Linked DNA regions of Notamacropus eugenii. The protein of the gene in region 2 interacts with the protein of the main gene of each other region in a biochemical or structural test. Links are inferred from orthologs where the notes say so. Each region holds a gene or a part of one and is shown on either strand. Other genes may lie near its edges. The genes, in order: DSG1, JUP, cadherin-1-like and CTNNA1.

What was found.
Region 1: the proteins of JUP (region 2) and DSG1 form a complex in vitro, tested with the Homo sapiens proteins (2 studies listed by BioGRID and IntAct). The link is inferred for Notamacropus eugenii from reciprocal best matches to the Homo sapiens genes JUP and DSG1.
Region 3: the proteins of JUP (region 2) and cadherin-1-like form a complex in vitro, tested with the Homo sapiens proteins (2 studies listed by BioGRID). The link is inferred for Notamacropus eugenii from reciprocal best matches to the Homo sapiens genes JUP and CDH1.
Region 4: the proteins of JUP (region 2) and CTNNA1 form a complex in vitro, tested with the Homo sapiens proteins (2 studies listed by BioGRID). The link is inferred for Notamacropus eugenii from reciprocal best matches to the Homo sapiens genes JUP and CTNNA1.

Annotation. Positions count from the first base shown.
Region 1 is NC_092875.1:257,982,205-257,989,289, reverse strand, and holds the start of DSG1 (desmoglein-1), read right to left. Parts: upstream 3,011-7,085; 5' UTR 2,823-3,010; coding exon 2,775-2,822; intron 1-2,774. UniProt on the Homo sapiens protein: Component of intercellular desmosome junctions. Involved in the interaction of plaque proteins and intermediate filaments mediating cell-cell adhesion.
Region 2 is NC_092873.1:358,227,404-358,234,940, forward strand, and holds the start of JUP (junction plakoglobin), read right to left. Parts: upstream 3,011-7,537; 5' UTR 2,848-3,010; intron 1-2,847. UniProt on the Homo sapiens protein: Common junctional plaque protein. The membrane-associated plaques are architectural elements in an important strategic position to influence the arrangement and function of both the cytoskeleton and the cells within the tissue.
Region 3 is NC_092872.1:708,186,268-708,193,551, forward strand, and holds the start of cadherin-1-like, read left to right. Parts: upstream 1-4,283; 5' UTR 4,284-4,527; coding exon 4,528-4,587; intron 4,588-5,600; coding exon 5,601-5,715; intron 5,716-7,284.
Region 4 is NC_092872.1:366,016,472-366,023,699, reverse strand, and holds the start of CTNNA1 (catenin alpha-1), read right to left. Parts: upstream 3,023-7,228; 5' UTR 2,824-3,022; intron 1-2,823. UniProt on the Homo sapiens protein: Associates with the cytoplasmic domain of a variety of cadherins. The association of catenins to cadherins produces a complex which is linked to the actin filament network, and which seems to be of primary importance for cadherins cell-adhesion properties.

The DNA.
Region 1 (7,085 bases), on a different chromosome or scaffold from region 2:
CCAAGAAGAACATGGTTATAAACTCTAAGAGGGTAGGGATCAAGCCTTATCTAAATATTGCATATCTCTGAGCACCTGTCATAGTTTTCTAGACACAACCTGCTTAATTGATTTTTATTGGGTTGAACATAAATGGAAGATAAAAACTGGTCAGATTCACTGAGACATAACAAACACCCTGAAAGTCTATTTCCATATAAGAATAATGCAGAGAGCATGTGATTCTGGGAAACTGATTTTTTGGGAAGGGAGGGGAAATTGAAGGATTTACTAAATTAGCAGGGGGATTTTATTATGGAGTAGAAATTTTATCATATAGAATGAAAATATTATACAACTGAGTAGAAAAATTGCATAAATAAAAAATAAACTACCAGTTGAGTTATAAAGTTCATTGTGGAAAGGACTGAAAATAAATTTTAATTTGCTGCATCCATGATAAGAATTAACTGACTGAACTGAATATACATGGAGCTGGAGGGGGAACCGTGGTCATTTGAAAAGGAACAATTTTATGCTAATTTCTGATACCAATATTTTTTCCCATTCCTATGGCATACTTTAAGGGGAAAAGAATAAGCATTTATATAAAGCCTACTATGTGCCAGGTATTGTGCTAAGCACTTTTTACAATTTTGATCCTTCCATTTGATCCTCACAACAACCTTGAAAGGCAGGTGCTATTATTACCCGTTTTTATATTTGAGGAAACTAAGGCAAACAGAGGTTGCCTAGGGTCACACAGCTAGTAAGTGTCTGAGGTCAGATTTGAACTCAGATCTTCCTGACTCCAGACTCAACCCACTGTAACACCAGCTGCCCCAATGCTGTCATAATTTGAGGGATGTTGAGGGATTGAGGGATTTCCCTTCCCCTTCCCCATGAACAAATCCAAAAGTTCTGTGAGAGAGTAATGAAATGGGACTAATGTTTAGAACAATATCCATTTAAAGTAGACGTACTACCAACTCATGAAGTTCTTTCATAATTAAATTTGTTCAAGTTTCAGTTCAGTTTAATCCATCAGCTCCATTTTAGCTAACCACCATTCACTGAATCAAAGACCTAACTTGTTATTAAACAGAACCAGCATTCCAGACCTAAGTTAAGCAAGTAGAAACAAATATGAACCAAGACACCGTCTCCTGCCAAGTTCAAGGATAATTTAGCTGGCACCTGCCTTTTGGGATTACTTTAAACTTTCTGTGAAAGACATTAGTGTTTTTGATGAATTTTTCAAAATATGAAATAAGTATATATAATACTATGTACTTTATGAACAAAATTCCCAAGAAGTTATTGTTAATACTCTGTAAAGGATAAACCATGTATTGTTTATTTTTTAGTGTGGAATTTTCATTAAAAAACAAAACTTCCCATGAAAATTATTGTTCTCTTGCAACTTTGAAGGACTGTTCCATTATCCTAAGTTTTGAAAAAAAAAAGAAAAACTGATTTTCAATAAATGAAAACATTTAGATTACATGGTTATTGAGGTCCCTTCTAATTCTCAAATTCTATGATTCTACAACTTAGATCACATCCTAATATACTTTAAAAAATTCAGCCTTTTTGTCCTAAGTGATACTCTGACCATTGGATACAATTTTTAATGTCAGGCTTTGGGAATAGAGGATCATAAATCTACAATTGGAAAAGACCTCAGAGGCTCTAATTCAACCTCTTCATTTTATGAAGGGGGAGACTGAGGCCCAGGAAAGTGCCAAGACTTGTGCCAGGGCTCACAGGTGTTGGAAGCAGGATAAAATAACATTGGGTCATATTTATAGAGAGCTCTAAAGTTCCCAAAGTGCTTTCCTCACAACGACACTATGAGGTAGGTAGTACTGGTAGTAATATTATTATTACTATAATTATTTTTATATAGGTAGGTGAGCAAACTCAGGTTGTGTCTTTCCGAAAGTCACAGAGACAGGGGTGTCTGAACAGAGCAAGGTTTAGAACCAAGGTCTCCTGACCCCAAGTCTAACAGCTTTCCACTATGCCAAACTGACCTTCCGCTAGTGAGAAAAGCCATAGTGATGATTATACAATAACCCTTTCATTATAACAGTTTTTTTTACATGCCTCATCACTTATAAATTTTCTGTACTGTCATTTTTATTGAAACCATCAAATATAACAAAATCACTTTTTCCTTCTGGAGACACTTGGGCTTTCAAGAAAATTTATGCAAGTATCAAGACTATACCCTGATCATGCTGAGGTTCCAGGAGGAAAATTAGAATCTTGAGATTTACAACTGAGTTTATCTTATCCACCCTCTTCATTTCACAAAAGTTAGTAGTTACATATGGCTACAGAATGAATTAGTCTTGTTTTATTTCATTGATTAAAATTTGGCAATGTATTATCCCTCGGCTGTTGAGGGGTGGGGAGGGAAGAGTGAGAGAGAGAGAGAGAGAGAGAGAGAGAGAGAGAGAGAGAGAGAGAGAGAGAGAGAGTCAGTGCTTTGATAATTGAAAAGGTTCACCTACACCAGTATTCAAAATTTTAACCTTTTAACATGTTAGGCAGTGCTAAGAATTTTCAAAATCCAACATGTCTTTGGAATGTTATTATTTTGAGGTGCAAAATGAAAGACTGGCCCCTGAGTGAGGCATTGGTAGTCTTAAAAGAAAAAAAAATTGCAAATGTGACTTATAAAAGTCTTCCCAGTCATTAATATGAACTGTTAGTCCAGGCTGTAGCCTGAACTGGTCTCATTAGCTATACAGACAAATTTTATCGATTTATAAAATGGATCTACTTACCCCTAAAATGAACAGAACAGCAGTGGTTCTGTACAGGGACCAGTCCATTGCTTCTGATAGCTCTTACATCCAGGTCTCAGGTAGTTACGTTTTTGACTTCTGTTTCTTTTTCTTCCCACCCCCCCCTCTTCTGGTGCCTAATTAAAAAAAAAAAAAAGATCTTGGTAGATGTTCTTACATGCAGGCTTTGAGATGTTTCTGCCTTCCTGAGAAGGAAGGACTGAAGGTACGTATAACCAGTCAGTATCCCCACCCCAAAATCCTGGGCTGGTCTCACTGAAATGCCTGACAAGATCATTATTGCTCCCAGGTAAAAGCTATGGGACACGCCCTTCTAGTTTGAAAGCAGTTCTCTGTGGGGCAGAGTCTTTCTCTAGAGGTTCTCAAGTGAAATAATTTAAAATTATTCAAAACCTAAAAAAGGATAAAAATGGACAAGTTCCTTACCACTGTGCTGGGTAATAAGAGTGACCTTATCTTCTTATCCTAGGGGATGCGGGGAGAAATGTAGTCTGTATATAGGTTATGGGCAAGGTAGACATTCTGGTGACTAGATAATCAAAGCTTCAGATCACAGGAAGAAATGACCAAATCTGACTTGAGCGAATCTAGAGAAAGTATAAGCTGGAGGAACCATATATTTGCTAAGCTGATGGTTAAATAACTTGAAGGTCTTATTAGAGTTGAGAGATCATATTGTCATTTATTTGGAGAAACAAAATGATTGTGATGATCTGACTTACAAAGTTTTCTCTGGTTTGTACCGTGACTCTTCTTGATGGCAACAGGTATGTCCCTGAGTGTCCTGCTTAAGCTCAGTCCTCTCTGTGGAAAATTCTTCTTCCCCTCCTCCAAATCAGTTTTTTAATTTTCTTTCTTTATTCCTGTCCCTGCTCTGCACACTTACATAAAAACCAGAATTAGAACTTGACTTTCCTAGAATTTTAAAAAAATAGATAATAAGGAAAAGTTTAATGACATATTCAGTACAGATTGACCAGAGCCAGATACACCCAATTGAACCATAAGAGAAAACTGTGGTTTAGGTCAGCCAGGCTAAAAAATAGTTGATAAAAACAGCATAACCTGAGCCAAGATTGTAGGAAGTCAGCCAATTAGAACAAAGGAAATATGCTGGAGACCTGGCCACCCACATGTGAAGACAGGAAATGGAATGAGGTACCTGGTTTTTTGAAAAGAAGTAATAGCTCTTATGGGGTAGTATTTAATGGTAACTTTGAAATCATTTTTATATCTTTTCTTCTCCAGGAAATGGTTTGAGGGAGGCAATTAGAAGGGGTGCTTGGCACTGTGTTAGTGTTGGAGAGAAGTATGTTAATTGTTGACAATTAGGAAATGAATAAGAGATGTCACAAAGGTAGTATGTTGGTTCTCCGTTGTGTGGAAGATGACTTTTCTTTATGTGTGCATGAGAAAAGAATAGCCATTCAACTTTATAAGGACATACATGGATCTCTAGTTACTCATTGTGGATCTCTGCAAACTGGGAAGGAGGAGGCTGCCTCTACTTTGACAGATCTTAGTCAAACATCAGTTGGGATTGAGCAGTTGGTTGCCCTGCTAAGCTTTTGCTGATACAAATAAAAATAATGAATTGTGGTGGTCAGGCCAGATTTTATCATTAGTGAGTTAAAGAGAGTGATGCTCCATGATGTGTTCACAACAATAGCTAGTAGTAGAATTGGATGACCTAAAAATGGCAGAGGGATTCAAGAGGAAATGGCCTATCCATTCTACTGGTTGAGTATGTATGATTTATACCATTGGACCTTGAGTTGGAGCATAAACATATAATCTTATCCCTCTTTCCCCATAGATAGTTCTAGTCTCTTATCTGATGTTGCCCCAAATATACCTCATGACTCCATCCCAGTTGAGGGCCTTGTCCCAACAAGGGGCTCTCAGTTCATCCCTCAGCCACTTAGACACTACTCAGAAAAGGAAATGTGGGAGAATTCCATGGTTCTGGAGCACCCGTAGCTACTCCCTTGACAAGTTACCTGAGGAACAGTGATGGTAGAGTAGGGAAAGGGTGGAAGGGTGAGGATATCTCTTACCACTTCTCCTATAACCTTTCCATATTTATGTCATTTTCTATTGCAATCTGACCTGTACACATCAGCATCTGCCTTATTATTGAGTGCTGGTTTACCATAGGCTTCTACTGTTCCCCAATTCTTAAGAACTTGCCTTTGATGTCTCATGTCTATATTCTCCTTTTCCTTAAAGTTCCTTTTTCTCACTTACCCCTTATCAATAAACTAATTCTTTCATTCTTTTCCATGCCTTTACTATCTCTCCCCTTTTTCCCATTCCCCCTTGAAAACCCACAACTAATGTGGTCTTCTTGAATACTCACATTACTAGATGAGATGAGAATCACCATCTCTATGGTTTCCTGTGAGAAGGAGGACCAGTAAGCCTTGTCATCTACCTGCCCTGCCTTTATGTCCTCCAGACCGTTGACTCTGTCATCCGACCTTCTTATATATCCTAACGACCTTTGTGTTTTGCCATCTTTCCCTTTGCAACATCTTTAGGATTTCTTGGCCTTTCCATTGATTTAAGTGGACTTTCTTTTATATACTTTCTCCTCCAGTTATAGTGTGGGAGCAGAGACTGCCTTTCTTTTTCTATCTTCAGCAATTAGATAGTGCTTGGCAAATACTAAATGCTTTTTTATTCTATTTCTTCTGATAACCAGTTTCCACTTCATAGGAATCTATTTGCCCACTGAGCCTAGCTAATCTAAAGTCCCCTGAACTGAGCCCTTCCCCTACTTACAGAATCTTCTGTTGTTATTTTTTCTTCCATGTGCATGTTGTGTCCAAGCCTCTGTTTGCTTTGCTTCATGGAATCTCAACATGATTTTCAATGTAAGTATTTGCATCATGAAAATTGGGGAATATTACAAATCAGAGCTTGGTTTATTGTTTTATTGATTGTCCACATTTAAGAAAGTGATGAAGAAAATGTTAATAATGCAGAATAAATTTAAAAGTATGTTGTATGTTTTTGGGGAGCCTATTGTTAAAACATTTACCAGCATACCCCTACCTAGAGCCACTCTCATTTCTCAAAAATGGTACCTGCTTTAAAGTGATTTTTTGTGTCCAGAGTTTCCCCAGAAAACTGATGGGGAATACTACATTAATCAGAATTCTCCTATGATACCTTGATTACTTTCCTATTTCTCAGGAAATAATAGTCTTGTAATTTATATCAATTTTCTATGTTTTTCAATCCTCTCAGCATCTTAAAATATTGTAAATATCAACTTAAAAATGAACTACTAACTTTAATTTACATTTATTATAGGTATTATTACTAATTATTTACCATTGAGATTGGTCCTGCTAATTACACACAGAGATAGCTGTTAAGACAGATTCGAATGAAGGTCCAGGAAGGCTATACATATTTCTCCCAAAAGACTTGGATTTATTACTCATGTAACTTTGGATGACTCACTTATATTATCTGTCCCTCAATTACCCTACCTTTCAAATGAAGTTGTTGGTCTATGTCATACTATTATGATAGGAAAAGTTCCTTCCTATTCTATAGACTGTGACATACATTTTTTTATGTATATATAATGCATACATGTAGTATGGATGCATAAATTGTGTTTAACTTTGACATAATCCACATAATTGTCATTTAATAATTATATACTATTTCATCTTGTTAATATGTCATGGTAGGCCTAGCCATTTGCACATTATGGAACACAATTCTTGAGTAATAAAATAATGATTATTATAAAGAACAGTATAATATATCGCTACAGCCTGAAAAAATTTAGGTTGTGCTAAATACATAGCAAGTCATGACCTGGTGACTTCCATCATACATCAGAAGCTTGCTCTCTTTCATGGGCCAATAGATAACAAGTCCCTATGCCACAGCCATGAGGATGCTTCCAAAATCCTGGAGAACTGTACTGGGAACAGACAGTTTTCATGTACCAAACTTACCACGGTTTGCCAGACATGAAGGTGATTTGTAAATACGTAAAAACAATGGTTTTCATAATTGTTGCTATCTTAATTGTCCATAATCTTGAAGTTCCCTGGAACAAAAAGTTTTCCAAGTGTAGGGAGTGGGTCAAAGAGAAAAATAATGAGGAATAGGAAGAGAATTGTACCAACCTCATGGTCCTCCTGCTGTTGAAATTGTACTGAGGATTATTTCAGATAACCTATGGAAGGGGAATGTACAGCAGTTATTTTATTCACTTAGTAATCCATAAAACATTGAATAGAAGGGGAAAATGGGAGGGTGGTA
Region 2 (7,537 bases):
GATATATGTAGTCAGAAGACCTCAGTCCAAATCTCATCTCTGACAAAGGATTATGAGTATTTAGGGTTAGAAGGTATCTTAGAAATCTTCTAGTCCAAAATCCTCTTTTTTTTTCCTAGGTGAGGAAACTGAGACTAGGGGAATTGAAACGATCTGCCAAACAGTGAACCAAGTATATAATAGGCAGCAGAGCTGGGATTCAGACTCAGGCACACCCAAATCCAACCCTCTTTCTCCTCCTCCAGAACTGCCTTCTAGCTATGTGACCCTGGGCCAGCCACTTTTACGTGTCCCAGCCTCCATTTTCTCATCTCTAAAATGGGGATAATAGTATTGGCACTCATTACCTGCTTGGCAGGGTCATATTGAGAAGAGTGCTTTGTCAACCTGAAAACAATATATAAATGTGAGCTATATTTCTTGGTCAAGACCCAAGGAGTCATGAAACTTTCAACCATTTCTCCAGCGTGGACCAGACTACCCAACCCTACCCACGCTAGATGAAAGCCCTTCCAGCTGTAAAAATCCTCTGACCCTATGATTTGTTCAAGGAGTACCTCAAAAGACCCGGATCCCAACCTGATCTGCAGTAGTCACGCCTCAGCAAACTTCATAATTTGGTAATCAAGTGGAAATCAAGTCCTATTGCTTGCTGCTAGCTTCCTCCTCAATTAAGAGGTAGATAATTAAACCAGGGAATGAGAAAGGGTAAAAGGCAGGGTAAGAATATAAGATAATTGGCATCTCCCACATGGATTTTTTTCCTAGCTCAATCTCCTACTCTGGGCTGAGGGTAGTGGCTGCAGGAGAAGGTTACAAAGGCTTTGCCTGAAATAGGGAAGAAAGAGAGGTGAGGGGTACCAGGGGCGCCCCTAGATATGGAAAAAAAGTGCAAGTGGGCTCCCTCTATCTCCACGGGATTAGTAAACAGAATGGAAGTGGGGAGGAGAAAGGATAAGATCAGAAAGGATCAACTCTGAGCTCTCTATTCTGAGGTCTGTCCAGAGTTAAGATGGTCTTGAGGAGGAGGGAGCTGAACTTCATGGCCCAGAAGGTCCTTTGGCTCTAGATCTATGACTCTGTGATTCCCCCTAGAAAGTTTATTGGGCAAGCTAGGTGGCACAATGGATGAAGCCCTGGATCTGGACTCAAAAGGCTGAGCCCAAATTCAGTCTCTGACATTTACTAGCTGTGTGACCCTGGGCAAGTCACTTAATCTTGTTTGCCTCATATTCCTAATTTGTAAAATGAGCTGGACAATTAAATGACAAATCACTGCAGTATCTTTGCCAAGAAAACCCCAAATGGGATCATGAAAGAGTCAGACAGGACTGAACAGCAAGAAAGTTTCTTGCTAGATGAACTTTCCAAAAGATGGGACGAAGGTCAGGAGGGAAGGAAAAAAAGGACAAAGGGCAAGACAGGTGAGGGTTGGAATAAACATGTATATAGCACCTACTGTGTGCCAACCATTGTGCTAGGCACTTGGCAAATATTTCATTTATTCCTCACAACCATTCGAGGCAAGTGCTATTCCCAATATACATTTAAGGAAACTAAGGCAAACAGAGGCCCATATAAACCTTCCATAACTAGTTATAAGAGTCTGTGAAATGAGGTATTTGAACCAGGTGTTCTCTAAATGGTCCTCAGAGTCTCTAAGCTATACATGTCAGATGACAGCACAGCAAGAACACACTAGCAGTAACTTCCTGCTCTCCTGGTCCCCATTCCCCATCCCGCAGCTTTCTGACCTTTCATTAAACCATCTCCTCTCTGAAGCCCTCTCCAAGTCTCAACAATAAGTCAGATACCCTAAAACAAGATAAGCTACCCTCTTCTCCCGGCAACCTGAACACATATTAGAGAGAAGAAAATCTAGGACTTTGATGTTAACTCCCTGGGACCCGGGATCCGTTTAATGCCCAGTGCCAAATTTATGCCTAACACCAAATTCACCTGCTCAGCAAACCAGGAATGGGGAGATCCCGCCTCCAATGCAAGAATACTGACCCCACAGCTCGGAAAACTGGACCCAGACAATAGGGCCCCACCCAGGCCTGGGGAGGTGGGGGTGGAAGAGGAGGGCAGGAATGACGCTTGGTGGGGAGGCAGACTGAGGGGGTGACGGGGAGTGCAGCCCAGCTGCAAGTTTCCTTAACTATAAATTCCCAGCTGGACAGAGGGAGAGAAAATGCTCTATGTACTCACCACGCGAAATGAGGTCAAAGTCTCCCCCTCAATCCCAGTCCACTAAGGCCACTGCCAGGGAGGTCAGTGCTGTATCCGTACCTGACCCTCCCCTCCACCGTACCCCTCCTTCAATTCCCACTCCCTCCAGCAGACTTTTCCAGGACGAAGCCAAAGCCCTTCCCAAGCCCCCGCTGCCCACCACCCCTCCTTAAAAAGGACCACAGAGATCCACCCTCTCCAAACTCACCCTCCTCTCAATCTCTTGCTCCACATTTCCAGCCCCACCCAGTTCAGTCCTCCACTAACCCACTCCCCCTTCGGAGTGGCCAGCCTGACCCACCACACACCCCCGCCCCAAGCAAAATCTCGCGACCCCGATTGCCTTTCTGTCCCCTACCCACTCACCCACCAATCCCAGACCTCAAATGCTCCAAAAGCGACCGTCCTCTCCACTCCCTCTAAGTAGGCGCTTGCTCCCACCGCCCAGTCGGGCAAAGCTCCCTCAACCCCCCTCCCATTGGCGCCCCCTTCCTCTCCTCCTCTAAATGTCACCTGCACGGACCCGCCCCTCAAGGTGCCCCCACCCCACGCACCCGAGCGCGCGCGGAGTCACGGTCGCCCCCAGCCCCAGTCCCAGCCACACGCGTCCCTCACCTGAGCTCGTAGCCAGGGTCCGGGCTGGGGCTTGGGCTCGGGGCAGCGGGCAGGACTAGGGCTGGGCTGGGTTTGGATCGGAGGATCTGCTCCGCTCGGGCGGTGGCTGCTACGGACTCTGGCCGCGGCTGCAACTCCCTAAACGAACAAAAGGCGAAGAGACCTGACAGCCAAGCCACGCCTCGGGCTCCCCTTCGGAGCCCCGCCCCCGGGGCGACGCCCACCCGCTGCCGCGTTGTCACTGGTCCCGAGGCCTGCCCGTCTCCCTGGGGGGCGGGGCCCAGCTGCGAATCCGCCCCGCCCCGACTGCCTATGTTTACCGCCTCTCCATTGGCCTCGTGCCCTGCCAGTCGGCTCTAGGGCCAGACCCCAGCCCGAGGTCCGATCCCAATTCCGCGTCTATTGGATAGAGAAGGAATACTGCCTCGTGAATGGGTGAGGTGCTGTCAGTAAGCCTCGGGGAGAAACCAATGGAGTGGTTGGGGTGTGTCTTGCCCCACCCACGCTCTCCACCAGGTAGAACCTACTCCCACCTTTCCCCCCATACCTGTCCTACCAGGTGAGTCAGGGGAGAGGCTGTAGGGAAGGAAAGCAGCGCGTCTGTGTAGACGCCTAACCAACTCAGCATCAAGAAATAATTCCCTTAAGGGGATTATTCACCGCGGCCAAAAAAGTAAGCATCAGGTGGCAAAGACCTCGGACTGAGTGAAAAGAGGATTTGAATGCAAACTCAACAGTCCAAGAAAAGCCACCTATGGGGTGAAGGTGGAAAGAAGACTTTGAAGAAACAAGTCTACGAAGCTAAAGAAAACCAGGCAGCAGGCGAGAGAGAGAGAGAGAGAGAGAGAGAGAGAGAGAGAGAGAGAGAGAGAGAGAGAGAACGCCACGGTGATCCTAAGATCCCGGAGAGTAAAACATGGCCTTTTCTTTTCTGGCCATTTATTGAATGGATGTTTTTAGAAGGGCTCACAATGGGTTCAGCATCCTATGTCAGGCACAGTGGTCCCTTCCAACCCAGCCCAACAGCTGATAACCAAACATCCTACCCCCTTCCTGGAGGAGATAATAGGTGGGTGAAGGCAGGAAAGATTTTGCAACAGTGCCAAGCACTTCAGCCTTCCAAATGCTCTTTGCCCTGCTGTCCTGGACCCTCCCCCTCAGCCTGTGTGGCTCCCTCTCTGGGTATTTTCATCTCTACATTGCTTTCACCCACCCAGTCTCTCTGCACTTCAGCCAAATTATAAACTTTTTCTGGTTGGGGACAAGGGCTTTTTTCCCCATTGTTGCTTGGGTTTCCCTTCCTGAAGGCCAACACCCACTCTGTGTCCTGGTTTTCACCCACACTCCTACTTGGGCTACCTCTGTTTCATATGACCCACCCAATAAGAAGGAGAGGACTGGACAGACTTGGTCAGAGAGTGGGGAGCAGGGGAAGGTGAAAGGTATCAGGAACAAGAGAGAAAAACATAACATCTCTGAATGGAGTGAATAGAACACAGTATTGTGTGCCTTTCTCCCCAACAATAAATCAAGGGTGTCTCACCCAACATCATGTCCCAGCTTGTCAGTTCCTTACTAAAAAGTATAGGGTGTTACTATGGATGGAAATAGAAGCAAAGATTGCCAAGAGAAGACCCAGAAGCTGGACTAAGAGGGACCTCTTTTCCCTATTCCTCCTATAGAAACCTTGCCCCTCTCCTACATCCCCCAAGTCACATTTCTTTTATTGTTTTGTGTTGTTGTTAGAAGCTTGGAGATCATGATTATTTTTCTGTCAACATGGTGAAGTTAAACGATTTTCAAGAGTGACATTTTTTTTCTCTTTCTCTCTTGACACAAACTGAGCTTGGGAAAGATGAGACAGTCAAGCCATCCATTTCTGTGCTTCTAAACCAAGCAGTCAGGGAATTTTCCTTCTGAGGAAAAAAAATTCTCAAAGTCCTTTCGGAAAAAGTGCAATTGTGCTAGTAACATGTGGAAAGTTTTTGCTTTGTTTTGTTTTGTTTTGAACCTAAATTCACTCGCTGTGGTTTAAATCCATTTCCTCTTGTCCAGACTTCTGTGGCTGCTGAGACATTAGCCTTCAAAGGATGGATTCACTTCCCCTGCTCACTTCAGCTTTCTAGGGCTACAACTTTTAGTGGGGGAAAGGGTTTCCCATCTCACTCTAACTCATAAAAAGGAGTCAGCCCCCCAGGGGACAAAAGTAACTGGAAAATGGAGGTGCCCAAAGAGTGACTGGAAGTAGTATGGGGGAAGGGGAGCAGGTAGAGGTACTGTCTGGAGACAGTGAGCTTCTGTGGAAGTAAGAGAGGGAGATCTCCTGACTAGCAGCCATTATACCAGAAAAGGAATAGGCTCCCCTTCTCATTCTTATCTTCCCCCTTCCCCTCCTCTTCATTTGAGGCCTCTGGCCATATAAGGTGCTGAAGCTTTCTCTTGCTATTTGAACCCCCTCTCCACTCCACCCACCCACACTTAAATACACACATACCTTGTACATTCATAGGCATAGAGACCCATACACAGTTATACTCACATTCCCATCTGCACAGAAATCAATAGTCAAGACCCACACTGGGAAACATATGGATAGACATGAAGCTCTATACCATACACAGACTCAAGGAAAGATACTCACAGACAGGCATATGTATATTCACATACACGCACGCACGCACGCACACACACACACACACACACACACTTCATTTCCCTCTAACTCAGGTCAGGCTTAAAGAGTGGTCAGAATAAAAAAGTATCCAGGGGAGATTAGTCTGGTGACCCCTGACCTTGGATTGTTGAATCAGGCTAGTTCCTGATTAACCACATAGTAAATGTCTATCACAAGAAACAGGGTTAGATAACTAAGGACTTCCCAGATGGTCATGGTGAAAGATACCAGAATAAGGGGTAAGTGAGAGAAACCTGAAGCTTCTGTAAGGGTTTATACCTCAGCAGAGATACCATTATGGGCTAGGAAGGGGGATATATGATGCAGAAGTGGGGAGAGATGATTTCCTAAGCAACCAAGCCCTCTTGTTTAGAGCCAGAAGAGATTTGTGCTCAGTAGCCTGAAGAGATGGGGTGGATGGGGGGAGGTGTGAGAGAAGCTCTAGGTCTCACTGCCCAGTGGCTTGACACTGTAGGTGAGGTGTGTCTGACCCATACTGGGGAGGGTACTTAATTACTGATGTGGCTCCAGAAACACTTCACTGTGAAAAATGTAGGTGGAAATGGAATGTCAGAGGGAAAGCAGAAAGACACAGAAACAGAGACAAAGAAGGAAGGGGGAAGGGAGGGAGAAAAGGAAGATACAGGCTCAGGGGAGGGGATGGATCTGGAAGGTTCATGAATACGGTTATGAAATCCCAGAGAATGTTTGTGCTCAACACACATCCCAGGTAGCCTGAGCTGTTCTCGTTATATTTTTAACACAAAATCCCCAGAAGTCTCTTGTTGGGGAAAACTCACTCAGGAGTTCAGGACCAAATTTCTCTCCCCCAAGGCTGCTTCAATATGTAAAGCTTTGTTATCCTAGGATCTCCCCCCCCCCCCCCCCCCCCGAAGTTTCTGGAAATCCTTTGACACACCTAGGTGGTTCTCATAGTGGGAGGGGGAAGGGAAATGTAGCGGGGAGCTGGAGGAGACAACACAAGCTTCTTAAACTTGCTTCTTCTCTGACTCTTCTAGCTGACACAGCAGTTGCCCCACCCATCCCACCTGCCCCACCTTCCCACCAGAACCCAGAGCTGGGCAAGGCAAGGGAAGAGGCCTGTCCTAACATGCACCCATACTACCAGTTGACATCCATTTGCTTGCCTCCCCACATCCCTCCATATATACATTGATGTTCCAAGTGGGGAGGAGATTCAGCATTCCACCCCTATCCTCCAACCCCAAAGTCAGGGGCTTCCAGAGACTCTCAAGGAAGAATCACAGCATCAGCTAATTCTCTTCATTTTACAGTCAGTCAGCAGACACTTATTAATCACCTCCTAGGTACTATGCTAAGTGCTGGGGATACAAAGAAATATAAAGTACAGGAAAAATGGTCTACCGACAAGATGGGATCTATTTAAGCTCATCAGACATGGAACAAGGATTAGAACTCGGGCCTCTTTCTCTCCCAGTGGTCTTGACACTCCCCCATGTCAGAATAGCCTGCTCATGATTCTGACTACAAGATTCAAGCTAAGGTGTGGAAAATTATTTCAGTGCTGATATGAGATCTAAGCGTCTGTGCAGAAAAGTGGAAAGAGTTTTAGACTTGAAGCCAAAATTCTGGGTTCAGGCTCTGCTACAGATGAGCCCCATGATTATGGTAATGCACAGCCTCAGTTTCCTTATGTGTAAAACAGAGCTAATTATACTTGGTCACAATAAACGCTAATAATACCAGCTCATAGTATTGTTGTGAGAAGATTACTTTGCAAACGATAAAGCCTAAAATCAATTCAGGCTGCTGTTGTCATTGCAGTGAGGTGACTTAGTTGAGACCTCTGAAAAAATTTGCTCTTTGAAGAAAAGCCAGAGTTGGGGGGAAGGGAGGCTATGGAGACTTTTCCTGCCTTTTTCTGCTTCCTCCAGGGACTCCATTGTAAATCAATAACCACTTCCATCCTATGCTCTCTGTAATCAGCACAGATGACTCTACCCCAGGCTGGAGAGATCAGTGAAGCAACAAGAC
Region 3 (7,284 bases), on a different chromosome or scaffold from region 2:
GTAAGTCACAAAGGAATTAGAACTAGAAGGCTTTCGAGGAGGAGCAAAGGAAAGAATTGATGGCTTAGTGAGTAGACATCATATAAAGTACATATTTTTATATAACTGGAAAAAAATAAACTGACCAGTTAGCCTCTGGGGGGAAAAGTTTCTCTCATCATTTCCATTATCCTGTTTAATGCAGGAGCCTTGGCGAGAAAGGAAATGTACTGTATCTTCTTTCCACTGATCTATCCTGGTGGTAGCTACTGCTAAAATGTATAAACCCAAATGACCTCAGCACATGATCTGAAATCCATTAATAAGGAGGGAATGGGGTTTGGAGGAACGGGAGAGCTGGTAAACAATTTTAACTCGGTTTGCAGTCAGCTTTTTTCTTTATAAGTTCTTAAATAAAAAAAGAAATTCACATAGGAAGGCTTTTCTCCCCTAGAGATTTTGTAGAAAGCACACAATTTATTTCTTAATTAAATATAATTTTATTGCATTTTGGTCCATAAAAGATGTACTTAATGTTTTTGCTTTTCTATATTTATTTGTGAGGTTCATATGCCTTAATATAGGATCAGTTTTTTGTGAAGGTACCATGCAGAACGGAGAAAAAAAGTTGCTATTACTTTTTGATTGTCTCCAGAGGTCTTTTCTAAAACTCTACTCAGCCCCTTCATTTTTTTTCCTTTCTTTTTTTTGGTTAGATTTATATAGGTTTAAGCAGAATAAACTGAGGTCTTCGCTATTATACTCTTACTGCTTATTTCTCCCAACAATTCATTTAATTTTCCTTTAAGAATTTGGATATTGTGATACTTGAGGCATATATTTAGTGTTGATATTAATTCATTGTCTATTCTATCTTCTAGCAAAATGTAGTTTCCCTGTCTATCTTTCTAAATTACATTTATTTTTGTTGTTACCTCAAAGTCCTACATAGATGTCAGTTATTCCTGTCATAGAACTATCCCTGGTTAATCACATTTCCCCTTTTCTCATTTTGTGGCTTGTTCCTTAAATAATGAGATTAGCCCCTCTTGGGACAGCTTCATTCCCAGGATTCTGGGAGCTGGAGGTGACCATGGAAATCCAGCTCCCTCTTTTTACAAATGAGGAAATGGAAGCCTTAAGAAGGAGTGACTCACTAAAGATCCTAGAGCCAAAGCAAGACAGGAAACCAAGTTCCCTTTCTATTTTGCCATGTTTTGTGGAACACACATGTTAAAGGGAAACAACGTGCTCTGGCCAATGGTCCATCAGCCCTTGTAGTCTTTGTTATCGTTCAATTGTATCTGACTCTCTGTGACCCCATTTGAGGTTTTCTTGGCAGAGATACTAGAATGGTTTGCTATTTCCTTCTCCAGCTCATTTTACAGATGAGGAAACTGAGGTAAACAGGGTTAAATGACTTGCTCAGGGTCATACAGCTAGTAAGTGTCTGAGGTCAGATTTGAACTCATGAAAAGAATTCTTTCCTGACTTCAAAACCAGTCCTCTATCCACTATACTATCCACTACCCTTAGCCTCCAGGATAAATATCTCCAGGATAAACAGAAACTTGTTTTGTTTTTTAAAGCTCTCCCTACCTTACCCCAATTCTATCTTTTCAGCCTCAATGAATGTTTCTCCTCTTGCCATACTCTGTGATCCAATCAAACTGGCTTTTCCCTAACATACTTGGTATCTTTCCACTGACCTGCCTACCCCCATGCTTGGAACGCTCTTCTCTTCATTTCCAACTCATAGAAGTTCAAGCATCATCTTCTATGTGAAACCTTTTCTGACCCACTCTCCCTATCCTATAGTGCCCTTCCCCTCAAAATCCCTGTATAGGATGTCCCAAAAGTCTCAGTGCAACTTTAAAGCTTTAATAAAGCTTATGTGTATAGATATATGCATATATAATATAGATATATATATAAATAAAATAAATGCAAAATAGTTAAATACAGGGTATTCCAAAAATCTCAGTGCAGTTTTAAGTTTAAGCTGAAACTGTCTTTATATCCAGATATATAATATGTATGTGTATATTCATACATATACCTATCTACCCATCCATTTACTATCTAGCTATCTATCTATCCATTTATCTACTTGTCATCTCCTATATAACTTAAGTTTTTGATTCATTATATTTTTATTTCTAGCCCCTACTTCAATGCCTGGTGCACAGTAGGTGCTTAATAAATGCCTGTTGATTGAGGGCTTGGCATTCTGGACATTATTTTAGGTGTTTGCCCCATATTTAACTTCCTCTATTTGTTCCTGTTTCCTCTTTCAAGGCTTCAATCCCAAAGGAGCAACCTGAAAATGCAAGCATGCCATTGGAAGGTAATTGTAAAATAAAGTGGTAGCTGATAAAAGTATTGAAATGAGAATATCTTTTATGATTACCCTGTGTGAAGTCTACACTACACAGACCCACAAGTAAAATATGCCACATCTTCTAAGTGCAATTGATAAGAATGGCATTGCTTTGGTGTAGGAAAATACCTTGAATTTTGTTTTAAAGTAAAAGTAAAATATGAATTACTGACAAGAAAACTGACCTTACTTCTGACATCTGCCCAAATGGAGTGTCCAGGACAAATCTAGGGGAGGAGGTTGGAACACTGGGAAGGCAGCTGGAGCTGTCCCTTCCAACTCTGAATTTGTGACATGATTCACACTTGAGTATAAATTACCTGATATCAAGTTCCTTCCAGGTTTAGAAGATGGTCTTAGGATTCATTACTGGAAGTGGGCTTAATAATCTTCTAGGTCAGTGATTCCCAGTTTATGATGGATGACAAATAGCAAGGGTTTTTTCAAGGGATAGGGAAATCTATATTCTCCCACCCCTATGGACATTTTAATTTTTATTTAACACCAATCTCTCCAGTTCTTCTCCTAACTCTGAGAACTTTCTTGACCATGTTCCAAGTCTTCTTAGCTTGGGAAGTCACCATGCTCAAAAGCATCCTTCTTACTGTGGAAGGTGGCTGTACCCTGATGCCATCTCACCCTGGGAGATGCCCTGTACTTTGCTGCCTTCTCAACTTGGGAGATTCCTTCTTCTCCCTTCTTCTCTTTGGTTAGTTTCTCCTGAAACCTTTATTTTAAGGAAGAATTCAGGTCAGCCATAATGCTCTTTCATTCCTCTGACATGACTGATTCTTCACATCTTTCTCCATGGTTCCTTCTCAATAGGCTCCTTCTTTCTTTTCCCCTCCCAACAGCTTTTAGCTTTCTTTTAGGTGAGTCTTTCTTCCTTTAAAAAGTAAGCTCCTTGAGGGCAGACTTTCTTTTTTGCTTCTATTTGCATTCCCTTGTTGTAGTCCCAGGACCTTAGCTCTCAATCTTTTTCCAGCTCTTACGGAAGTGCACAGTACATAATAAATGTGTAATAGTGGTTGGCTAGACTCCAAATAATGCACTTGACTAGTATGTCATCTGCCTAGCAATCATTGTCATTTGGATTTTTTATGTAAGTCCAACTAATAATATGCAACTTTTTGGAATTATGTAAACTTTGTTGCAAAGGTTTTGAATACATTTATATTTTACTAGTAACTTTTAAGTTGTTATGAACGCTTAGAAAGTTTTTTGTTTAATAGTACAACTACAGTCACCGCTGCTCTGGAAATGTTTTTGTACTTAAAAAGAATCCTCACATGCAGAAAAGTTGAAGACCATCCCCAGGCAAGAAGCAAGAAAGTTGGGGAGGGGGGAAGGAAGGGGTCTGGGAATTAGTGATACGTTCTGACCCTTTAACCTTTTTCCAGGGACGCTGAAGCGAGGATTCCTACTTCAGGAGGGGTTGGATTGTGCGGACCATTTTCACCTGTGGGAATCTACCACACTATAAAAGATGATCAAAAGACATTTCCCAAAAGGTTCAGATGCCTATGAGTTACTTCATAAGGAGATTCCCCGACTCAGAGCCCTCACCGCGTATTGGAATCTTCCCACCCCCACTCCCAGTTTTTACCAGACAATATGGGACTTAGGGAGAAGACATTCTCAGTGAATCTTGCAATGAGATTCTCTCCTACTCGCAGCCGCTCTCCCACCGATGCCACTCTTTAGAATGTGTACCGCTCGGTGTCCGGCTGTGGACTGTCCGGGCTCTCCAAGATGCAGACGACCACAAGCAGCGGTGAAAGATCGGAAGTTCAACTTCTGACTTAGACATGAGAAGTCACCGCTCCGAGGGCTAGAAAAGGGAGTGATCAGTTGCCCGGGGTGGGTAGACAGCCTGAGAACTTCAGGGCAGGGAAGGGAAAGAGAGCTGCCTGGGCTGGGCTAGGCCATCCAGACTGTCTCATTGGCTCCTCCCGGCGCAGGTGTGCGTGCGCGCCAATCAGCAGCTCCGCGGGGCGGGTCCCTCGGGGCTCACCTGGCTGGCCGCTGGCTTGGAGCCGCAGTATTGGCCCCTGGAAGTGACTGGAAAACCTTTGGTCCACCTGCGCCTCCGACGAGCTGCGCCGCTCGGGCCCCAGCCCCTGCCGCGTTCCTGCCCCAGCTGCGGCCGCACCCCCGGCGCCCCCATCATGGGCACTAGGCGGAATTGGTGTCTCAGCCTCACCTCTCTCCTGCTGCTGCTGCTGCAGGTAAAGCCCCGGAGCAAGAGGGGGATGGGGCACTTTCCGGGTGGATGAAAGAAAGATGTGGGGAGACGCTGATCCTTGCCCTGGAGAGAACTTCGGCTGCCCCCGGCCTCTCACAGCCCAGAGGAGCCCTCCTTACACCCATCCCTTCCTCTGATTCCTCCCTTCACTTCCCCTAAGCTTCCCTCGCCTCCTGTGCTCCTTTCCTACCCCACCCCCCCACCATGGGTGACCGAACTTACTCCAGCACTCGGGACTCTCCTCGGGAACTGGTTTGCTTTCGAGGGGTATTCTAGCCCACGAGCTGGCGCACTGCCCCGCGAGGGGGCAAGTGGGGAAACGCACGGCTTAGGGGATCCTAGCGCCGATCCGGCACCTCCCTCGGTCGCCACCCTTCTCCTTTTCTCTGGGGTCTGTGCGTGTGTGTATGTGTGTGGGGGGGGGCTTGGTACATTGTACCCAAAGTTTTAGGAGAGAAATCTGAGCTGGCCCTGAAGTCACACTGTAAGTGGTGGATCTGGGCAGGGGGGAGAGATGAGCCTGGGGAGAGCTGGTGTATGGGGGGGGCGGATCTCTAGTGTGTTTAGGGTTAATGGGATCTGTGACTGAAAGGGGCATTTCTCGGGGTGGGAATCTCCTGTAAAAGTGAGAGTTGGGGAGCGTGTGAGTTTGGAGGAGGGCAGATGGATAGAGGGGAGGGTGACCCAGGGATTCTGGCTGGATGGGATCGGGTTGCGAGGGAGGGGAAATGTCGCTTTGATTTGGGAAGTTTGACCCGTCTGGGCTGGACACAGCTGACTCTGGTCCGCTTCTCGCCCCTCAGCAAAACTCTCCGAGTCCCCTGGGAGCAGCCGGCTGTACGGATTTCTGGTGGGGAGGGAGCGGCTAAGGCCCGGGACCAGGCCGTCTTCACCCCCAACCCCCACTGGGGCGAGGCTGGCAGGTTTCGGTGCGGGGGAGGAAGGCAACCCCCTCCAGCTCCCAGTCACCCCAAACCTCCCCTTTTCCCCCCTTAGGCGTCGTTATGGCGTTGCGAGGACACGGGGCTTTGCCGTCCGGGCTTTGCCTCCGAAAGTTACACCTTCGAGGTGTCCCGGCCACACCTGGAGCGAGGCCGAATCTTGGGCCAAGGTAAGCGGCCTGTGGGGGAGGGGAACGGCTGCTGTTCCTGCTGTTCCGGTGCCCAGCCCCAGGGGGTGGGTGGGGAATCGATGACCTAGGAAAGTGATCAGCCCTTGGATTGAGGGCGGGAGCGGGGAAAGTTCGCGCTCGGGTTTTGATGAAGTTAACCTTTATGTTGGGTTTTCTGTGTGTAGGAATCCCTTTTCCCTTTGGAAATTATCCCCGCCTCAACAAATACTTACTGAACTTGCCAACGTCTCTACTTTTCTTTTTGTCTCATTATCTTGTACGAGACCTAAAGTCTTAAATTATTTAAGAGCGTCCCCTCATCCCCCATCTTTGCAAAGTATTGAATTTTTCTTCTTAGGGATAAAAATGGAACTGATAATATTCCTATAGGTATTGATTTTAAAAAAAAACAGCCCTGATAACTGACTCAGGAAAAGCATGTGATTGAGTTGGTCATTTCTTGGCCTTATCACAGTGCCATCATAATTACGTTTGAGTTTCTTCCTGGCTGGCCAAGTGAGGAGGAAGTTTGGAATATTATTCACTGTGTAAATGAGTGAAATATGGTATCTTCCAGTTTCAGTGTGAGAGCTGCTGTTTCACTTTAGTTTTTCCTATTGACTTTTTTTTTAAATGAGGATTTGTGATTTTTATCGAAGTTGAAATTTCTCCCCAACCTCCACCCCTTTCTGAGCAATTCTACTGTAACTTAATTTTAAACAGTTGCCTGAAGGCTGGCCCTTGGTCACCCTGAAATTATGTGCTTAGGTGGTCTTCTTGATTCCCAAGATCAGCCCTAAAGTGCTGGATTTGAAGTCTAAAATTTGAGGTCATCTCTTACCTTAGACATTCATTTTTTGTCCTTGCTTTCAGTCGGTTGAAATATAAGTGGAGAGGCCAAATAAGCACATGTGAAATAATTAGGAAACAAATATCATTTTTTAAATTTTTAAAAAATTAATTTGTTTTCAGTTTTCAACAATCACTTCCATAAGTCTTAAATTTTTCTCCCCCTCTCCCCTTTCTCTCTCCCCTTCCTCCCTCCCTCCCTGAGAGAGCATGCAATCTTATATGGGTTCTACACATACATTCTTAAACATTTTCACATTAGTCATATTGCATAGAAGAATTAAAATGAATGAGAGAAATCATGAGAAAAACCAAACCAAAACATAACACAAGAGAAAATAGCCTGCTTCATTCTGCATTTCAGTTCCATAGTTCTTTGGATATGAATGGCATTTTTGCCTCAACAGTCCTTTGGGAATGTTTTAGGTCCTTGCATTTCTGTGAAGGGCTAAGTCTATCAGAAACAGTCCTTCCACACTTTGGCTGTTACTGTATATAGTGTTCTCCTGGTTCTGCTTATTTCACTCAGTATCAGTTCATATAAGTCTTTCCAGGCTTTTTAGAAGTCCTGTTCATCATTTCTTATAGCACAATAGTGTTCCATTACATTCATATACCACAACTTGTTCAGTCATTCCCCAATTGATGGACATTCCTTCAATTTCCAGTTCTTGGCCACCACAAAGAACTGCTATAAATATTTTTGTACATGTGAGACCT
Region 4 (7,228 bases), on a different chromosome or scaffold from region 2:
CAAAACTCATGATCCTATGAATACAGCCTGAGAACCAAAATATATCCTAGCAAGCATTCTCTATGGTCCAAAGTCTGAAACAGTTCTAAGAGGAACAAACTGGAACTTATTCATCACACCTAAAAATAAAAGTATGAACAGATATATTTTAATTGATTGTATAACCTTATAAAATAAAACACAGTGTTCAGACTCCCAATCTGAGTCCCAAAGTTTTCGTTTAGGAACAACCAACGCAAATACAGATCTGTTTCTGCTAAACTAGTCCTATTTGTTCTAAGGAAGAATAGGAAGGGATAGTGATGCCAAACAAGGAAAAAAATGTCCACAAAACACCTAAGCAGCTGGTGAGAGCACTGAACTAGGAGTCAGCAAGTCCCCAATTCAAATCTAGCCTCAGACACTTTCTTACTAGCAGTGTTTGTAAAGTTCATGAAAATTAGTTTTCATATTTAACATAAACAATTTCTAAAAAAACTATCCATCAGATAATAAACAAACCCATCACATGTCCAGTCAGTGACAGCAGCAGGAGCAAAAACATCCTTATCTGTTACAGACTTTATATTTTTTTCATTAAAAAAACTGATAGAATGCCTATGTGGCAAAGTGATGTGGCTGAGACAAAGACTGATATGAACAGTCCTTACCCTCAAGGAGTTTACATATGGGAGGGAGGTAAGACAAGTACACAATTATTTTTAAAAAATGTCATGAGTAGTAAAGTACCCTGGCACTTCAGGGACTGCTTCCAATTCAAGTAAGAAGACTTCATGTAAATGTCAACAATTGAGTTGGATCTTGAAAGATAGGCAGAATTTCATCAGGCAGAAAGGGGAAAAAAAGGGCATTCTACATAGAGAGAATGGCTGTATCAAAAGCAAAAAAGGTACAAAGGGTGTAGTTCACACTTTGATAATGAGCTTTAAGGTTTACTAAAAATCTTCCGCAGAATAACCAGGTAAATCAGGTCTTCATTATTCCCATTTTAAAGTCGAGAAAAGTGAGTCTCACACCAAGACAAAGGAACTTGACATTATAAGGCTAAGGAGAGTCAGAACTTGAACCCAAAATCTTTCAAATACACCACACCTCACAACAGTGAATGACAAGGACTCCACATGAATGGTACAAGTGGATCATAAAAAGAAAAGGTTTAAAAGCAAGGAGTATGTCCTATTATGGAGAACTCTAGTGCCAGCCTGGAGGATTTTTCCTTCATTTTGTAGTGAATGAATAGACATTCAAAGTTTTTGAACAGTAAGTGATTTGATCAAGTTTGTTTTAGACTAGGTCAGAGGCAATAACCAGACTGTCTCCAAGGGTAAAGATGACATTTTATATTTCTTTTACATCCCCAATAGCATGTAGTCTAGTGCTGGACAGCACGGCATGGTGGATGGCACACTGGACTTTGAGATGGATGACCTAGGCTTTCACTGGGACTCAGACACAAGAAGGTAACTTTTCCTCTTTTCTCATCCGCAAAATGGGAAAAATTCACAGGATTGTGAAAAAAGCACTTTAGAAACCCTAAAGCAATAAACAAGTGTTATTATTATTACCGGCACGTAACAGGTGCTCAATATTTACTATTTGAATAACTTACATTTATATAATTTTTAATTTTCTTAAAGTGAGGCAAACCTGCATGGGTAGGTTTTTAAATCAGTACTTTTAATAAAAAGAAAAATGAAATCCCTATTCCTCTCCCCCACCCCCATCAAAACTGCTTCCCTATCAAGGAGCTCTAAGGATGTGATCATTTCTACCAAAGTTTCCAACTCATGTTATTTAGCTACAATCCAATGTGGGAAAAAAGTTACAACACGGTTTATGTCCCCATTTAGCTTAAGCAGGAAACTCATTTTTGCCTGAAAGATTACAAGCAAACTTTAGTTATCTAACTACAAAATTATTAATTATCCATTGGTTGCCTTCCGCACCAAGACTAAAATTGTTAAGAGTTAAATGCTGTCCTATTCATTAGCATAAAAAGTTGGGAGTACTTTGACAATCCAAGTTAAGAGTCCATTTTATTTACAAAGCTACGTAATTAAAAACCAACACGAATGGATCAGGTTCTCGAGTTTCGGAGAGCCAGAAGTCTTTTTTTAATGAATCACTTTCCCTGGTGAAATGGCCCAGGGAAGTGGAATCTGGGTTCCGCCACCGAGATTCCAGAGATTTCCGGGTGTGGGAAGGAGAAAGGAAAGAGAAACCACTGGAAAAACCCAAACAATCAAACTATTCGGAAAGTAATCCAATCAAGGCAAGCGGACCACCGCCCCGCCCAGGGGATAAAATGCGAATTATTCCAAAGGGAAGTGACTGGGCTGGACGCCCGCACCAGCGCCCCGCGCCCCCCCACCTCCGCCACCGCCGGGGGGAGGTTGGGGTGCGGGCAGAGCCGGGGTTAAGGAGGGTTCGGCGCGCCCGACAACTTAACAAAGTTAGTTCGGGAACCTCGAGAAACTTGGCCCGAGCGGGGGAGGCGCCGCGGAGCCCGCCCGCAGCCCTGGAAGGGAGTGCCCCACACTTGCCCACCAAAGTGCCCACCTGGGCTGACCCCGGCCCGGGCCCCGCTCCCCGCGCCCCCACCTCCCCGGGCCTCGCTCCCCTCCCCGGGGCGTGGCGGGGCAGGGGCGCCCCGCCGATAAGGCCCCCGCACTCCCCGGCCCGGGAGGGGCGCCGCCCCGCGAATCTCGCAAAGTTCAGGGGGAGCCGCGGGAGGGGCGCAGGCCGGGGCGGGGCGCCCCGGAGCTAATGGCGGGGTCCGTCGGAGGGCCCCAGGCCCGGAGCCCAGGGAGCGCCGGGAGTTACCTGCGGTGAGAGGGGTGCGAGCGCAGGAGGAAGAAGAGGAGGATCCCAAAGGCCCCTACGCCGAGCGCCGCCGCCGCCGCCGCCGCTTTGTCTCCCGTCCCGACTCCCGAGGAGGAAATGGGCCGTGGCCCGCGCCTCCGCCCCTCGGCCCCTCACCGGCCCCCCGCCCCGCTCCAGGCTCTTCCCGGCACCGCCCTCCGCGGCCGCTCCGCCTCGCCGCTCTTCCCGGCTCCTCCCCCGCGGCCGCTCCGGCCATTCCCGCCGCGCGCCCTCTCCCTGACTTTTCCCTGCAAGTAAGAGAACTGTACACATTTCTCGAGGAGAGGGGGGCGACTGGGTGGGGTATTGCTCTGAGACAAACTCCCCAAGCCCTGAACCGCTGTCCCAGGATGGAAAAGTCCCCTGGAGTGGGGAAGGCGTAAGGAAGAGATTAAAGGGGAAAGGGGAGGAGAAGAAAATCCCTGGAAGAGCTCAGAGAGGGGGATGGGGGCAGGGCAGGTGAGTCATCTGGCTCCGGGGCTCAGGTGAGTCTCAGGGTGGGGTTTTTAGGCAGGCTCCGCCCCTCAGCCTGAGACTTAGGAGCTCTGTGCCAGGTACTGAGCTGGATCTCAGATATCTTTCCTTTGCTGTAAGTGAGCTAGGCTATCCCAATTCAATTCAATTCAGGTTTATTAAGCGCCTAGCCTGTTCCAGGCATGGGAGGCATGTCTCCACGGGACCCCTGAGGCTTGTCCTGTTCCCAGAATTAATCCTTCAGAAAAGTCATACTGAGTTTTGAGGTAAGAGCTCACTTTTATTTTGCCCTCTAAATTAAGAAAAAAAAGCGTCCCTCGCAACATGGGGCAGGGCAGGGAGCGGCCAATCTTGATACACCCTAAAACTGATAGCAAATCTTAAACGTTAAGTACTAAATGATAAATTCTACCTCCTGCATTTCAGAATAACCAGCAAAATTGGTACTAGCCTGCAAAAATGCCGACATAACCGATGGTTGGGCAGGATCATCGTTTAGATTCGTTGAGAGTTTGGTGTGTCTACTACCAAGTGATATCAAAAGATTCCTTTGAAGAAAACTGTATTTCCCTTGGTATTTTGCATAAAGTCTTCCCAATTTAGGTTTTGTGAGAGGAGAGCTTAACCTACTCCATGCCCTAACATTAGGAGGTTAAGTATGAAGGGGCTTGTAAGTGGGAGTCCTGTCCTTTCTGTATTTGATCCACCACTTGAATGCAAGGTACCTCATTATGTAATGATGCACTACAACTCTGAATAAATGTTCTCAGAAGAAGGAAATTGACCTAAGAGTTAAAGTTAAACCTCTCTACATGCACCAACATATTTATGGCAGCAAAGAACTGGAAACAAAGTAGTTGCCTATCAGTTCAGGAATAGCCAAACAAATTTATTACAGCTACGTGGCCCAATGGATTCAAGTTTGTCAGGAAGATCTGAGTTCATATTTGAACTCAGATACTTACAAGCTATGTGACCTTGGTCAAGTCACTTAACCCTGTTTACCTCAGTTCCTCATCTGTGAAATGTGCTGGAGAAGGAAACAGCAAACTACTCCAGTACCTTTGCCAAGAAAACCCCAAATGGGCCCATGAAGAGTTGGGCATGACTGAACAAAAACAACCTTTTTTTACACCAAATCTAGCACTCTTTCCACTAACCCAGGGAAAATCAATCAATCAACTAACATTTATTAAATACCTGCTAAGTGTAAGACTCTATGCTAAGCACTGGGTAAACAAAAAAAGGCAAAATAAACAAGCAGTCCCTGCTCTCAAAGAGGTAAGTCTAATGGGAGAAACAACATATCAAAATTTATATGCAACAAGATATATGCAGGATAAATTGGGGGTGATCTCCAAGGGAAGGCGTAATGATTGAGAAGAACTGGAAAAGGATTTTTTGCAGAAGGTGAGATTTTAGCTGAGATTTGGAGGAAGTTAGGAGGTAGAGATAAGGAGGGAAAGAATCCCAGGCATCCAGGACAGCCAGTGACAACTCTGATTTCAGAGTTGTTTTGTGCCACTAGATCTCACAGTAAACGGAAGGGGATGAGGTATAAGAAGACTAAAAGGCAAAAGGGGGACCAGATTATGAAGAGCTTTGAAAGCCGAATATAGGATTTCATTTTTGATCCTGGAGGTAATAGGGAGCCATTAGTGTGAATTGAAAAGGGGGTGAAGGGGATTATGATGTGGTCACACCTGCATTTTTGGAAGATTAATTTGATAATTGAGTGGAAGATGGATTAGAGAGGGAAGAGATTTCAGTCTGGGAGACCAACCAGCTGGCTACTGCCAGGTGTGAAGTCATAGTGGCCTGAACAGTTATAGTGTCTGGCAAGAAAAGTGGGTATATTTGAGAGATATTGCAAAGATAGAAATGACAAGATATAACAAATGATTGCATTAGAGGAGGGTGGGGGAGAGGAATTGATGATACCTTGGTCACAAACCTGGGTGACTGTGAAGATGGTGGTATCCAGGACAGTAATAAGGAAATAGGAAGAGATTTGGGTGAGGGTAAAGGGAGACAATTTTCAGATTTGGTTTCAGTTTTGGACATTTGAGTTTAAGATGTCTGTGGGAAATCCATGTTGAGATATTTGCAAGGCAGTTGGAGAAATTGGTCTGAAGTTCTGAGGAGGTAAGAGCTAGACAAGTAAATCTGAGAATCATCAGCACAGAAATGATCACTGAAACCATGAAAACTAATGGGACCAAGTGAAATAGTAAGAGAGAAGAGGATAAGGCCCAGGACAGCACCTTACAAACAAACATTATCAAATTAGATCTTTAAAACAACCCTATAAGGTAGGAACTACTAGTATCATTCACTTCCCCTTACACATGAGGAAACTGAGACTCAGAGGAATCCAATGACTCGCCTATAGTGAGTAATTTTTGGAGGAAGGATTTGATTCTAGTTCTCTCCAGGATCCAAGTCCATTATTCTTTCCATAAATGTATGTAAGGCCAAGCAAAGTAGAATCTTTTGCTGTTTTTCTTTTACTCTGATTGAATAATGTGATTAAAGATCTTAAGCCCTCATATTGATGGGCCTGCCCATTGAGGGAATCTTGATTAAAAGACTTGTTTTGTAGGAGGGTCCCAAGTACCTTTTGTTTTTTCTATTGAGGCACTGGGTCAGAGGATCATGCCCTGTGACTCTGAAAGGTGTATAAATACTCTGAGGGTGAGGTTTTACTTTGGGGCTTAATTTTTGGAAGAAGGTTTGTGTGCCAGATGAGAGACTCTGGGAAGCCACCAAGCAGCCCCCTGGCTTTGAAAACTCAGGTGTTGGTGCTTCCCTCTCTGGTTAGTTGTTGTCCTTCCTCTTCACAGAGGACCAAAATGACATCACCATGATAAAGTGAAATTTCAGTGTGTCTGATTGTGGCTGATCAGACCAATATGAGCTCAGAATGCTCACCACAGGTTGGGCACAGATAGTCCATGTGAATATTTAGGGTGGATACTCCAAATCTGCACATCCTATGTTTACTTTGTGCTGTCTCAATTCTGCTTTGCTCAAAGAGCACAGCATCCTTTCTGATGTGGGCATGGCATGCTGAACGGTTCTGTGCCAGTGTCTTCCATGTTGCAAAGTCAAATCCAAAGTTCTTGAAAGAGAACTTGAGAGTGTCCTTGTATTGCTTCATCTGACCACCATGTGATTGCCTGTCCCATATGAGTTCTCCATAAAATAGTCTTTTTGGCAAGCGTATATTTTGCATTTGAACAATGTGGCCAGCCCATCGGAATTGCACTCTCTGAAGCATAGTTTGAATGTTTGTCAGTTCAGTTTGAGCAAGGACTTCAGTGTCTAGACCCTATCCTGCCAGGTGATCCTCAGAATCTTCCTAAGACAGTTCAAATGGAAGCAATTCAGTTTCCTTGCATGGCACTAGTAGACTGTCCATGTTTCACAAGCATATAACAATGAGGTCAGCACAACAGCTCTGTAAACCTTCAGTTTGGTAGTCAGTCTAATGCCTCTTCTCTCCCAAACTTTTCTTTGGAGACTCTCAAATACTGAGCTAGCTCTGGCAATGCATACATCAACCTCATTGTCAATGTGTACATCCCTGGAAAGTATAGTACCAAGGCAAGTGAGATTATCCACAGCATTCAGAACTTCTCCATTTGTTGTAACTGATGGTTCCACATACGGATGGTGTGGTGGTGGCTGCTGAAGCATCTGTGTTTTCTTGGTGTTAATTATTAGGCCAGAATTAACACAGGCAGCAGAGAATTGATCCATACTTTGTTGCATCTCAGCTTCAGAGGCTGCATTGAGTACACAATCATCTGCAAACAGAAAATCATGCACCAACACTCCCTCCACTTTGGTCTTGGCTTGTAGTCTTTTCAAATAAAAGAATGACAATTGA